2 linked regions of the Stegostoma tigrinum genome follow. The protein of the gene in region 1 purifies or fractionates together with the protein of each later gene. This does not show direct contact. Links are inferred from orthologs where the notes say so. Each region holds a gene or a part of one and is shown on either strand. Other genes may lie near its edges.

Evidence for each region.
Region 2: the proteins of cytochrome c oxidase subunit 5A, mitochondrial-like (region 1) and cytochrome c oxidase assembly factor 3 homolog, mitochondrial purify together in Homo sapiens (affinity purification with western blotting; 3 studies listed by BioGRID and IntAct, with this or other methods). This does not show direct contact. The link is inferred for Stegostoma tigrinum from reciprocal best matches to the Homo sapiens genes COX5A and COA3.

What each region holds. Positions count from the first base shown.
Region 1 is NC_081389.1:16,551,040-16,558,292, reverse strand, and holds the start of cytochrome c oxidase subunit 5A, mitochondrial-like, read left to right. Parts: upstream 1-4,156; 5' UTR 4,157-4,282; coding exon 4,283-4,373; intron 4,374-7,253. UniProt on the Homo sapiens protein: Component of the cytochrome c oxidase, the last enzyme in the mitochondrial electron transport chain which drives oxidative phosphorylation.
Region 2 is NC_081384.1:15,282,220-15,289,700, reverse strand, and holds the start of cytochrome c oxidase assembly factor 3 homolog, mitochondrial, read left to right. Parts: upstream 1-4,374; 5' UTR 4,375-4,400; coding exon 4,401-4,593; intron 4,594-7,481. UniProt on the Homo sapiens protein: Core component of the MITRAC (mitochondrial translation regulation assembly intermediate of cytochrome c oxidase complex) complex, that regulates cytochrome c oxidase assembly.

The sequences.
Region 1 (7,253 bases):
CTTTCAGCCTCTGACGCTCCAGGGAAAATGGCCCCAGCCTATTCAGCCTCTTCCTTTAGCTGAAACCCTCCAAATCCAGCAACATCCTTGTAAAATCTTTTCTGAGCCCTTTCAAGTTTCACAACATCTTTTCTGTAGAAGTGAGACCATAACTGAATGCAGTATTCCAAAAGTGCCCCAACCAATGTCCTGTACATCCCAATATGAACTCCCAACTCCTACACACAATGCCCTGACCAATAAAAGCAAGTGTACCAAATGTCTTCTTCACTATCCTATCAGCCTGAGACTTCACTTTCAAGGAACTATGAGCCTGCACTCCAAGGTCTCTTTGTTCAGCAGCACTCTCACTTACCATTAAGTGTATAGTTCTGCCTTGATTTGCCTTTCCAAGATGCAACGTACCACATTTATCTAAATTAAACTCCATCTGCCACTCCTCAGCCTATTGGCCCATCTGATCAAGGTCCTGTTGTACTCTTGGCTGTACACAACACCACCAGTTTGGGTGTCATCTGTAAACTTACTAACCATGCCTCCAATATTCACATCCAAATCATTTCTACAAATGACAAAAAGCAATGGACCTAGCACTGATCCTTGTGGCACAAGGTTGCAGTCCTCTAGTCTGAAAAGCAATGCTCCACCACCACCCTCTGTCTCTTACCTTCAAGCCAATTTTGTTTCCAAAGGCTAGCTCTCCCTATATTCTGTGTAATCTAACCTGTCTAACCCGTCTACAAAGCAGAACCTTATGGAACATCTTGCTGAAGTCCGCTTGACAATATTCACACCTCGGCATTCATCAATCGCTGTCACTTCTTCAAATAATGTGTGCTGCAATGAGTAAATATTTAGTGTAGTTCAGGCAGTTGAGACTTGATAAGCTGAAGGACCATGCTTCTGTTCTGTACGCATCTGTATCACATATTTTCTGTTTCCATATTTTCCTAATCAACCTATTCAGAAATGTTTCTATACACCTGTGGAGAAGGTGGGAAAATAGCTACATTGCAGTAATTGTAAAGTTACCAGACCTGCAGTATCATTAGAAGGAGAGAAATAACTGATAGTGGCTTAATGTGAGAGTCACCAGACCTTAGATGAAAGTGGAGAGGAGCCGTAGCCAGTGTGGGAATTGAATCCATTGATGGCATTGTCACTCTACATCAGAGACCAGCCAATAGAACTGAAATAACTGCACAGAAGTTTGTATCCTGTCACCATGTCAGACTTTATTTACATGTGCACTATACACTGGCTATGACCAGACAAGTTTGAGTCCCTGAAGTAAGGGAACTCTGAATGCCCTGATTAAATCTGTCAGCAAGGGCTCCCTGATTGGCCTAGGTTAATAAACCCAATTAAGGATCAAACAGTCAATGAAATCTACCTGATTCCGATCACAATAGAGGCTAAGGAACCCCTCCCCACTTAGGTGGATTAATCATGGTGACCCCACATAGAGTGGGAATTGACCCCGTATTTTTGGCATCACAAGCCAGCTGTTGAGCCAACTGAAATAAGAATTTTGCTTTAATTAATCAACAGTGAGTTTGCTGTTTACTGTATGTGTGGAGATAGAAAAAAAAGTTGTGCTGTGACCAGGGAATGCTTAATAATGGAACAGCAACTGACTGGATGGGCCAAATGGCCTAATTCTGCTCCTACATCTTACAGAGGAGCTCTTGAAATGTCATAACATTCAAGACTATGTGGCCAAGTGCTGGAAAGAGACTAGTGTAGATTTAATTAGATGTGATGAGCCCAAGGGCTGCACTGTATGGTTGCATGTTTCTATAGGATGCAGTACTGGAAAGCAGACACCAGCTGGAGGAACACAGCAGGCCAGGCAGCATGAGAGGAGCAGGAATGCTGACGTTACTGAAGACCCGAAACATCAGCTTTCCTGCCTCTGATGCTGCCTGGCCTGCCGTGTTCATCCAGCTCCACACTACGTTAATAAAATGTGAGGCTGGATGAACACAGCAGGCCAAGCAGCATCTCAGGAGCACAAAAGCTGACGTTTCGGGCCTAGACCCTTCATCAGAGAGGGGGATGGGGTGAGGGTTCTGGAATAAATAGGGAGAGAGGGGGAGGCGGACCGAAGATGGAGAGTGAAGAAGATAGGTGGAGAGAGTATGGGTGGGGAGGGGATAGGTCAGTCCAGGGAAGACGGACAGGTCAAGGAGGTGGGATGAGGTTAGTAGGTAGATGGGGATGCGGCTTGGGGTGGGAGGGAGGGATGGGTGAGAGGAAGAACAGGTTAGGGAGGCAGAGACAGGTTGGACTGGTTTTGGGATGCAGTGGGTGGGGGGGAAGAGCTGTGCTGGTTGTGTGGTGCAGTGGGGGGAGGGGACGAACTGGGCTGGTTTAGGGATGCAGTTGGGGAAGGGGAGATTTTGAAACTGGTGAAGTCCACATTGATACCATTAGGCTGCAGGGTTCCCAGGCGGAATATGAGTTGCTGTTCCTGCAACCTTTGGGTGGCATCATTGTGGCACTGCAGAAGGCCCATGATGGACATGTCATCTAGAGAATGGGAGGGGGAGTGGAAATGGTTTGCGACTGGGAGGTGCAGTTGTTTGTTGCGAACTGAGCGGAGGTGTTCTGCAAAGCGGTCTCCAAGCCTCCGCTTGGTTTCCCCAATGTAGAGGAAGTCACACCGGGTACAGTGGATGCAGTATACCAAATTGGCAGATGTGCAGGTGAACCTCTGCTTAATGTGGAATGTCATCTTGGGGCCTGGGATAGGGGTGAGGGAGGAGGTGTGGGGGCAAGTGTAGCATTTCCTGCGGTTGCAGGGGAAGGTGCCGGGTGTGGTGGGGTTGGAGGGCAGTGTGGAGCGAACAAGGGAGTCACAGAGAGAGTGGTCTCTCCGGAAAGCAGACAGGGGTGGGGATGGAAAAATGTCTTGGGTGGTGGGGTCGGATTGTAAATGGCAGAAGTGTCGGAGGATGATGCGTCATATCCGGAGGTTGGTGGGGTGGTGTGTGGGAATGAGGGGGATCCTCTTTGGGCGTTTGTGGCGGGGGCGAGGTGTGAGGGATGTGTTGCGGGAAATACGGGAGACGCGGTCAAAGGCGTTCTCGATCACTGTGGGGGGAAAGTTGCGGTCCTTGAAGAACTTGGACATCTTGGATGTGTGGGAGTGGAATGTCTTATCGTGGGAGCAGATGCAGCGGAGGCGGAGGAATTGGGAATAGGGGATGGAATTTTTGCAGGAGGGTGCGTGGGAGGAGGTATATTCTAGGTAGCTGTGGGAGTCGGTGGGCTTGAAATGGACATCAGTTACAAGCTGGTTGCCTGAGATGGAGACTGAGAGGTCCAGGAAGGTGAGGGACCATTTCCACTCCCCCTCCCATTCTTTAGATGACATGTCCATCATGGGCCTCCTGCACTGCCACAATGATGCCACCCGAAGGTTGCAGGAACAGCAACTCATATTCCGCCTGGGAACCCTGCAGCCTAATGTTATCAATGTGGACTTCACCAGTTTCAAAATCTCCCCTTCCCCCACCGCATCCCTCAACCAGCCCAGTTCGTCCCCTCCCCCCACTGCACCACACAACCAGCCCAGCTCTTCCCCCCCACCCACTGCATCCCAAAACCAGTCCAACCTGTCTCTGCCTCCCTAACCGGTTCTTCCTCTCACCCATCCCTTCCTCCCACCCCAAGCCGCACCCCCATCTACCTACTAACCTCATCCCACCTCCTTGACCTGTCCGTCTTCCCTGGACTGACCTATCCCCTCCCTACCTCCCCACCTACACTCTCTCCACCTATCTTCTTTACTCTCCATCTTCGGTCCGCCTCCCCCTCTCTCCCTATTTATTCCAGAACCCTCACCCCATCCCCCTCTCTGATGAAGGGTCTAGGCCCGAAACGTCAGCTTTTGTGCTCCTGAGATGCTGCTTGGCCTGCTGTGTTCATCCAGCCTCACATTTTATTATCTTGGATTCTCCAGCATCTGCAGTTCCCATTATCTCTCCACACTACGTTATCCCTGACTCCAGCATCTGTCGTAGGCGCTATCGCCAGGAGCAAAGATGGCGGCGCCCGCCAGGGTCACAGCGGGCAAAGCGCATGCTCGCTTTATATGCGCATGCGTATTCTTGTGTTAGGCGGGTGGGCGTGTGCGCGTTGACGTCAGGGGCGCAGGGCGGTGTACGTGGCCCTCGCGGCGCGCACGCGTTTTTTCTCCTCGTCTCCCGGTTCCGAGCGGCAGCGGCTGCGGCGGCTTTTCCTTCCTACACCTTCGCTCACTCACTCGGTCACAGTTATGTTCCGAGTCGCGCTCAGGTACAGCGGCACAGGCCTGGCCGCCTGGAGGCGGACGGCATTAGCGGTCCCCGGCCGAGGGCACCCAGCAGGTAAGGTCAAAACGAGCAGGGTGGGTGCCTGTCCCATCTCCCCCCCCCCTCCCACCACCATCTCTTGTCTGTCACCACACCCCCCCCGGGAGGGTGGGGAATGTTCATGTACCCCTCTCCCCACCCTCTGTTTATATCCCCCGGTCACGGTTTCTGCCACCGCTCGCTGCAGCCCCGTGTCCTTGCAATGACCCGCGCCGCTACTCGAGCCTGGCTCCGGGCCTAGTGACATTGCCAGAGAGGGGGCGGGAGGGTAGCATTGGGTGGGAGGGAAGGTGCCGGCCCAGTGGGGTGATAGGGTGCCGGCCCAGTGGGGCAAAAGGAATTCTAAGTTCTTTTTTAAAGGGCAAGGTAAAGATACATTCGTTTTAGTGCTGTGGAAGTAAATGAGATTGTGGTGGTGGAGGGGATAAGGAGCGAATTAAATGTTTTTAGAGGGACGGGAAATGAATATTAGGATTGAGATGTGTTTGGTGAAGGGAGGGGGTTCAAGACATGAGGTGTGTGGAGACGGGGAGCAAATTATAGAGTTCCCTGCAGTGCAGAAGTGGGCCATTTGCCCTATTGACTCGGTAGTGATCCTGTGAAGAACATCCCACCCAGACACCCTGCACATTCCGTGGCTCGTCCCACTACTTAGCCTGCGTGTCCCTGGACACTGGGCAATTTAGCATGTCTAATTCTCCTAATTTGCCCTTCTTTAGACTATGGGTGGAATCCCATGCATAGAAGGGAGAAATGTACAGATTCCTCAGAGACAGTGGAATCAAACCCAGGTCTCTGGTTCTATGAAGCAGCAGTGATAACCAATGAGTGACCATGCTATCCTTGTGCTGATAGAGGGGGAATAGAGATTAGGGTGTGTGTGAAGGGATAAACTAGCCAGGAGGGGTACATAGAAGTGTATAAATGGGTAGGAGTAATTAGAGTAGACTAGCAGTTGAAGGGAACCTGCATAGGCCCTTGCATCATGTGTCCTGTCACTCCTGAGCCCACTGCATTCACTTCCTCCTTTTACTCTTAGTTTTTATGATAAAATCTGTCCCTGTCTGTGGTTGAACTATTCTGAAGCTTACAATGTTTATGTTGAACTTAATGCAAACTCCACTTCTTTACTCCTAACTAAATTGCATTGGCAACGGAGGTAGCATTCAAAACTACTAGGAGTTTTCAGCCTCTTCAGTGGCATAATGCCTTCATCTTATGCTACTTGTATTCTGTTACTTTGGATTTAGCTACACTCCCTTAATTACTATGTAACAAAAACTAGTTTTGCTTCCACTGCCCCATATCCATTTCAGGAACAGTATTTGATGCACATTTAAAGTACTTAAGTTATTAGATGAGAGATAGTAGGAACTGCAGAGGCTGGAGAATCTGAGATAACAAGGTGTGGACCTGGATGAACACAGGCCAAGCAGCAGCACAGGAGCAGGAAGGCTGACATTTCAGGCCTAGACCCTCCTGCTTGGCCTGCTGTGTTTATCCAGCACTCACCTTGTTATCTCTAAATTATTAGGCATGCAGGAAGGGATAACTCAAGGTCACTTGGAGATGTGTGTTTGCACATGTAGTTGGGAATTTAAAACAAAATTCGTTCTACTTCACTATACTTGAAAAGGGTAGCTGACACAACTAAGTATTGAAGAGTAGAATGAAAATGATCAGTCCAGTCTTGATTTGAGAAACCAGGAATGTTCTTCCATCTCCCTTTACCCCTTTCCCTTCTGCCAAATCCATCCCATGCCTGCCACACACTTTACAGTGTCTCCTCCCACTAGCTTTTCCTGAGTCCATTTCCTCCTGCCTATATCCTCCCCTGCTCCACATCTGTAGTTTATCCCTCTGTCTTCACATGCCTTCCATCTCTATCTAGGAATGAGGGAAGACTGTGTTTAGTTTTGAGGGGCATATTCGAATTATCAACTTCATTGTGCTTTTGATTACTGCTAGTCAAGAAGGTTTATTTCCTTGACCCTTTTGGGATGTGACAAAGCTGCAAAGACAATTATTCAGATGCAGATAATCTCCAGGTGTCTTGATAGTGTATTCGGAGAGGATTCTTCCTCTTACGGTGGAATATAAAACAAGGGGCTGCAGCTTTAAAAAGAATTCTCCTGTTTAGAATAGTTGAGTAATTTCTTCTGCGAGTCTTTATCTATGGGATTCTCTTACTCCAAGCAGTCGATGCTGGAATGTTGAACTGTTTGAATGTTTTTCAGACTTAATTGGATGAAGGTTGTAGGAAATAGACTGGAAAGTTGAGTTGATTTCACAATTATGGTTCAGTTAAATATTGGAGCAATGGCTGAATCATTTGTATTTTTCTGAAGAAAATGGTTGAGTCATCTATGACTGTCTAAATGCAGTGGATGTGGAGTATTAAGATCCCATTTTGAATACATGTAAATACTATTCACATGTGGGTTAATGTCTGTACTTTCATTTCTAGGATATGGATTTGAATTTACTATTGAATTAATGGCTCTAGAGTTTGTGGTTGTAAACATTGAGAGAAATCACTTTGAAAAGCTAATCCAGTTCCTGATGGCCTAAGCTTGAAGTACACAAATTGCATGAAAGCCTGTAATTAGTTCTAAACTCAAATATGTGGTGTTTTAAGATGGTTTAGACATATTGATCAACATGTTAGCTACAGCTGACTTCACTGTCACTGATCCAAGAGCCCACAAGTGAATGAGAGAGAGATTAATTGCAGAGCTGCAGTTCTTGGTCTGTTGTCAAATTGGAATGTGCAAATGGTATGTAGTTCCATGAATCCAAAGTCAACGAAGTGGTATCTGCATCTGGTTTTTGATTTAGTTCCAACAAATTTGAGAGGTATTCTTCGGCCTGTAAATCTCGGACTCTGTGATAACC
Region 2 (7,481 bases), on another chromosome or scaffold:
TTCTGTGGTCCTTCTTAACCTCTCTTATTCTCACTTTCCCTTTAACTTCATTCTTAAATTTCCAGTTTGGCCCCTCCCCCCCATTACTTAGTTTAAACATACCTGTGTTGCAGTGGCAAACCTGCCTGCCAGAAAGCTGGTCCCCCGATTATTAAGATGCAAACCATCCCTCCTGTACAATTTATTCTTACCCCAAAACATACCCCAGTGATCCAAGAATTTAAATCCTTGTTTCCGACACCAGTCCCTCAGCCACACGTTCAGGTCTATTATCTCCCTGTTCCTGCCCTCTCCAGCCTGAGGAACTGGAAGCAAACCAGAGATAACCACCCTAAGAAATAGGCTGCTATGGGACTTGAACTCAGACCCCAGCGGTCACAAACCCACGTGCTCACCATTACGCCACGGCAATGACAGCAACGCCATGGCAACGACAGAGAGGCAACCTTACTAAAAGATACAAGATTCTTAGGGGACTTGACAGGATAGATGCACTTTGTGGGAGAGTCTAGAAACAGAGAGCATAATCTTAGAATAAGGGCTCAACCATTTAAAACAGAAATGAAGAGGAGTTTATTCTGCCAGAGAGTAGTGAAACTTTGGAATTCTTTGCTGCAGAGTTCTATGAAGACTGGGTCATTAAGTAAATTCAAGGCTGAGGTGGACAGATATTTAATCAGGGAATCGAGGGTTATGAGAAAAAGGCAGGGAAGTGGTGTTAATTGTCAGTTCAGCCATGATCACACCAAATGGCAGTGTAGACTTGATTGGCTAAATGACCTATATCTGTTCCCATGTCTTACATTCTACTGAGTCATAAAGTTCCTTCCACCAACCAATCCCAATGTCACTTCCTAGGCCAGCATTTATTGCCCAAGCCACAACTGCTCAAAGGGCAATATTTACCCTTTGGTCAATTAATTAATTAGCCCCAATCATCAGCATAACTACTTTTTATTTTAAAACTGGAGAGGGAACCCTTGGTTCAACATTTAATCTGAAAGATACTCCAGTGGTACTGCATCGAAACAGCAGCCTAAAATTTGCACTCAAATGGGAGTTGAATTCAAAACCTATCTACTTATTCTGTTGGTGAGAGTGCTGGCAGCATGAGCTCCAGCTGACAGTCACAATGTAACTGATATGAAGCCAAGCCCCAGAGTCTGTGCACTATCACAGGTTATACATGAGTTAGGAGTTGAATTTTTCAATACTGCCTGCAATATTATCTGCAGAATTCACCAATATAAACAGTGAATCAATAGAATTTAACAGAAATAAAGCTAAAACTGTCACTTGTATAATTATGAATGGCAGGATACTGTGATGCTAATGTGGTATCTCAAAGCTGGGAAAAAATACTTAATTAATCAACAGTTGGTTTTCTTGTTTTTACTCTTTCCCAAAAACCTTGGTATGGAAACAACATATGTTCTCTGAGAGGGAGAAAATACTGCTTATATGGTTCATGATGTGAAGGATCCTGGTAATGGATGGCTTCTTTTGATCAATATGTTTGAGGTTTAAGCCAATTGAAAGAATGGTTGAGGGGGTTTATAGGTAATAAGTATTGAAGGTGATTAATTAAATATTGTATTTAAAGGTGGGTATTAAAAGGGAAATAGAGAAGAATAATATTTAATGGTTGCTTAACTTGTCCCCCAAAATGATTAAAGTTTCAATCCTTAAGTGCAGTTTTTTTTAAACTTTTGTACGTATAAAAATATTGCTTTACATATTCTTTAAAGAAACGTTCTTTACATTTACTTTATCTGCTATTGCTCAGGGAGCTGTTACTGGAACAAGCCTCGAGGACAGCTGATTTGGGAGGCAGACTAGTCACTAGATGAGATTAGATTCCCTACAGTGTGGAAACAGACCCTTCGGCTCAACAAGTCCACACCGCCCCTTGAAGCATCCCACCCAGACCCATCCCCCTATAATCCACACACCCCTGAACACTACGGGCAATTTAGCGTGGCCAATCCACCTAACCTGCATGTCTTTGGACTGTGGGAGGAAACCGGAGCACCCAGAGGAAACCCATGCAGACATGGGGAGAACGTGCAAACTCCACACAGACATTCGCCCCAGGCGGGAATCGAACCCAGGTTGCTGGTGCTGTGAGGCTGCAGCGCTAACCACTGAGCTACAGTGCCGCCGTCACATTGAATCTTCCTTCAGAACCGAGCGTTTAGCTTCACTATTGAAACAACGTGTGAGTTTTGTCAAGGTGCTGAACCAACCTGACATGTTATACAACAAACATTCCACACTAAAGGTAATTGTCCTGAAAAGTTAAATTGTTTCTCTCTCCTTGGTGCTGCTTAATTTACTTCCAACATTTTTGTTTTAAATTGAAATGGCTGATTTATTAATGAGTTAAACCCCAGAATACAGGGTATATTTTCATAATTTGTGGAATGTACTAAACTTAGAATTACTGTAAATTGTGAGGAGAATAATGTATAATTTCAAAAGGACATAGACAGGTTGGTGGTGTTAGTGGATAGGTGATAAAAGAGATTCAGTGATGTGAAGTATGAAATAATGAATGGTAGAAAGAACTCTAGAAACAATATGAAGGGTACAGCTCGAAAGGGAGTGCAGGGGTAGAGGGACCTAGGTGTATGTGTATAAATTTTAAAGGTGACAAGGCAGTTTCAGACAGAATTTAATAAAACATTCAGTATCATAGGCTGTATTAATAGCAGCATAAAGTACAAGAGAAATAATGAACTTATGAAAGACACCAGTTTGACCTCTGCTGCGACATTCAGTCCAGTACTGGATGCCACACTTCAAGAAGGCTACAAATACATTGAAAAGAATGCAGAAGAGTTTGAGAATGGTTCAATGTATGAGGAATTTCAGTTATGAATTCAAATCAGAGAAATTGGGACATATCTCCTTGAAGAGAAGGCTAAAATGAAATCAGATGGAAGCATTCAAAATCATCAGAGATATGGACAGAGTAAATAGGGAGAAAATGATTCCACTTCTGAAAAGACCAAGAAAAAGAGGGCACAAAGCAAAAGTGATACCTAAAAGTGATTCATGTAGTGAAGGTTTTGTGTCTGGAACGGTCTCCCTGAGTATGTGAAGGTAGGTTCTGTGAGGCATTCAAAAGGGAACTAGATGGTTATTTGAAAAGGAATAATATGCAGCGTTAAAGGATGAAGGCAGTGGAATAGCATGATGTGAGATGCTCACTTGAAGAGCTGGCACACAGTGGGCCAAATTGCTTTTTGCACTGTAACAATTTGGATGATCTGTAATGGTGTTTCATAAAGGGTAGTGAGGAATGGGCTTTTTACACGGATGGCTCAACTGCTTGTTCTTTATTTACTGCTTCTAACCTCAACTCTGCGTTGTATCAGCATTGAACAATGTCATTCCTGACCTATACTAGTTTGTTGTTTGGTCCTTTAGTGCCACCAAGTGGTTATAGGTCAGAGGAAGTTCAGTGGCTTCTAATATAACTTACCAAACAGCATGGTACCTTTAATATTTCAAAGTGTATCATACATGCATAATGCATAACCCTACAAAAAGACAGAAGCAGAAGATAAAAGGAGGAACACTGAAAGTTTGATAAAGGAATGCGTTTTAAGGAAAGTCTCAAAAGAGGAGAGATTGGAAGGAAAACAGTAGTGTTTGCATCACATCCAAGATATTAAAAATCATTCGTTAATCTTAATGATTGTCCCTCGTTAATTCTGCAGCACAAATATGTTGAAAATGCTTCTCTTCATTTGGCTCATTTCAACATTCATTTACTGATCAGCATATTTTGTCAGTAATAAATTCAAGGCTGAATTTGGGCATCATATCCAATTCCCCACCTAATCAATTCATGTCCACCCACCAACTCAAGGTGCCCTGATCTACATTGTCTCCCAGTCAGGCAATGTTCATTTAGATTTAACTCTCATCCTTGTTTTTGAATCTCCATTGTCATGCTCCTAACTCTGTAACCGCCTATCCTGCAAATGTCTGTGAGATTTCTGCACTCTCCAATTCTTTACCTTGAGGATCCATGACAGCTGATTCACACCACTGACAACTCCATTTCGTTGACTTGGTCCTAAGCCCTGGAATGCCTTCCCCAAACTTGACCTCTTTTCCTAAAAACAACTTCTTCGGTCAAGCATTTTGTTTTACAAATGTCGTCTAAGTATATGTAAAATAATTAGCGTTGGTTTTATTTAATTCAAGTTATTGAACTAAGGTAACAACTTTCCATATCTGGTCTTATTTCGGACCTCAATATGTTTTCTCCGTTATCTGATCATTTGAAACTACCAAGTAGATCAAAATCGCGTTGCTGTTTTGATTTGCCCTCTTCAGCTTTCCGTATTTGACCTTCCGCAAGCAATTCTCGTTGGTGATTTGACAACATGGCGGAAATGAATTCTCGAGGAGGTTCAGAGTTTGCTAAACGAGTCGACCCGAAAAGGGACAATTTGACCAAGGAGCAGATTGAGTTCATGCAGAAAGTCGAGCTGGCTCAATGGCATAAAAACATGCAAAAAAGGAGCGGAAGGAATGTAATTACAGGTTTAGCTATCGGGGCAATCGTGTTGGGCATCTGTATCCTTACGTATTGAATGGTTTATTGGAGGTAAAAGTATGTCTTGAGTTTGGGCGTTAATCGTAGGTACATTAACAGGCTGATTTGTGCGATTAGATCAAATCAAATTGTAAGGTGATAAAATGTGAGGCTGGATGAACACAGCAGGCCCAGCAGCATCTCAGGAGCACAAAAGCTGACGTTTCGGGCCTAGACCCTTAATCAGAGAGGGGGATGGGGTGAGGGTTCTGGAATAAATAGGGAGAGAGGGGGAGGCGGACCGAAGATGGAGAGAAAAGAAGATAGGTGGAGAGGAGAGTATAGGTGGGGAGGTAGGGAGGGGATAGGTCAGTCCAGGGAAGACGGACAGGTTAAGGAGGTGGGATGAGGTTAGTAGGTAGGAGATGGAGGTGAGGCTTGAGGTGGGAGGAAGGGATGGGTGAGAGGAAGAACAGGTTAGGGAGGCAGAGACAGGTTGGACTGGTTTTGGGATGCAGTGGGTGGAGGGGAAGAGCTGGGCTGGTTGTGTGGTGCAGAGGGGGGAGGGGACAAGCTGGGCTGGTTTTGGGATGCGGTGGGGGAAGGGGAGATTTTGAAGCTGGTGAAGTCCACATTGATACCATTGGGCTGCAGGGTTCCCAGGCGGAATATGAGTTGCTGTTCCTGCAACCTTCGGGTGGCATCATTGTGGCACTGCAGGAGGCCCATGATGGACATGTTATGTAAAGAATGGGAGGGGGAGTTGAAATGGTTTTGCCACTGGGAGGTGCAGTTGTTTATTGCGAACCGAGCGGAGGTGTTCTGCAAAGCGGTCCCCAAGCCTCCGCTTGGTTTCCCCAATGTAGAGGAAGCCACACCGGGTACAGTGGATGCAGTATACCACATTGGCAGATGTGCAGGTGAACCTCTGCTTAATATGGAAAGTCATCTTGGGGCCTGGGATGGGGGTGAGGGAGGAGGTGTGGGGGCAAGTGTAGCATTTCCTGCGGTTGCCGGGGAAGATGCCGGGTGTGGTGGGGTTGGAGGGCAGTGTGGAGTGAACAAGGGAGTCACGGAGAGAGTGGTCTCTCCGGAAAGCAGACAATGGTGGGGGTGGAAAAATGTCTTGGGTGGTGGGGTCGGATTGTAGATGGCGGAAGTGTTGGAGGATGATGTGTTGTATCCGGAGGTTGGTGGGGTGGTGTGTGAGAACAAGGGGCATCCCCTTTGGGCGGTTGTGGCGGGGGCGGGGTGTGAGGGATGTGTTGCGGGAAATGCGGGAGACGCGGTCAAGGGCGTTGTTGACAACTGTGGGGGGAAAGTTGTGGTCCTTGAAGAACTTGGACATCTGGGATGCGCGGGAGTGGAATGCCTCATCGTGAGAGCAGATGCGGCGGAGACCAAGGAATTGGGAATAGGGGATGGAATTTTTGCAGGAGGGTAGGTGGGAGGAGGTCTATTCTAGGTAGCTGTGGGAGTCGGTGGGCTTGAAATGGACAGCAGTTACAAGCTAGTTGCCTGAAATGGAGACTGAGAGGCTCAGGAAGGTGAGGGATGTGCTGGAGATGGCCCAGGTGAACTGAAGGTTGGGGTGGAAGGTGTTGGTGAAGTGGATGAACTGTTCGAGCTCCTCTGGGGAGCAAGAGGCGGCGCCGATACAGTCATCAATGTACCGGAGAAAGAGGTGGGTTTTGGGGCTTTACCTCCCCACCTCTACACTCCTCTCCACCTATTTTCTTTTCTCTCCATCTTCGGTCCGCCTCCCCCTCTCCCTATTTATTCCAGAACCCTCACCCCCATCCCCGTCTCTGATGAAGGGTCTAGGCCCGAAACGTCAGCTTTTGTGCTCCTGAGATGCTGCTGGGCCTGCTGTGTTCATCCAGCTTCACATTTTATTATCTTGGATTCTCCAGCATCTGCAGTTCCCATTATCACTGATACAAAATTGTAAGGTGTATCGCTTCTCCGGCAGTTTCGTGCCACCATACCTATCCGCGCATTAGCAGAATGTACATAAAATTTTCTTATTTCAATAGGAGCCCGATTAGGCTTTTCAGACCCTGGGGTTTGTACCATTTCCAGTGTGAATCATGATTGATCTGCTCAAACTCGATCCACTCATTTTGCTTAATTCCCTAAACTAATAAATAGCAATCTATCCATCTCAGATTTAAAAATACTATTTGAACTAGCATTTGTCACCTCCTTGGGAAAGTGTTCCACACTTCTGGCACCCTTAGATAACAGTCCTTCCTAACTTCACTGAAATTCAGAATATTCACATCACCCAGTGCGACACAGGATGTAATATAGCCCTGGTGATATAAGTAAGGATGTTGGTAAAATTGATAGCCTTTGGGAGAAAAGGAGCTGTGCATGATGGTGGGCTTCATGTGAACAGTGCTGGAATTCTTTGCGAGCAGAAAAAGAAATACTACTGTGAGAGAAATGTTTAAATTAATGTTGCAGGGAAGAGGAAATAAAAAAAGACAAGTAGGAAGAAAAGAAAATACATACTTTCAAAGAGGATGGAAAAGGGTGAGAGGGAGGAGGCTTAGCAAAAAACCCTCAAAGAACTACAAGTGCTGGAAAACTGAAACAAAAACGTAAATTGTTGGAGAAACTCAGCAGGTTCAGCAGTGAAAGACCACTGAACCCAAAACTATAACTCTGTTTTCTCTCTAGGGGTGCTGCTGAATCTGTGGAGTTCCTCCAGCAATTTCTAAGATTGTTTGACAGATGGGAATTTGAATTCTGCTATATCAGTGCACAACGTGACAGAATTGATGGTGTTCCCACAATGCACCCAGACAATGCAGAGTTTTTAGTTTAGTTTATTTTTAATACTTGGAAGGTGATCATGCTGGATCCTCCCCTGGATACTTAGATGGGACAGGAATGTAGTTGAGTAAGTGGACATTTCGGATAT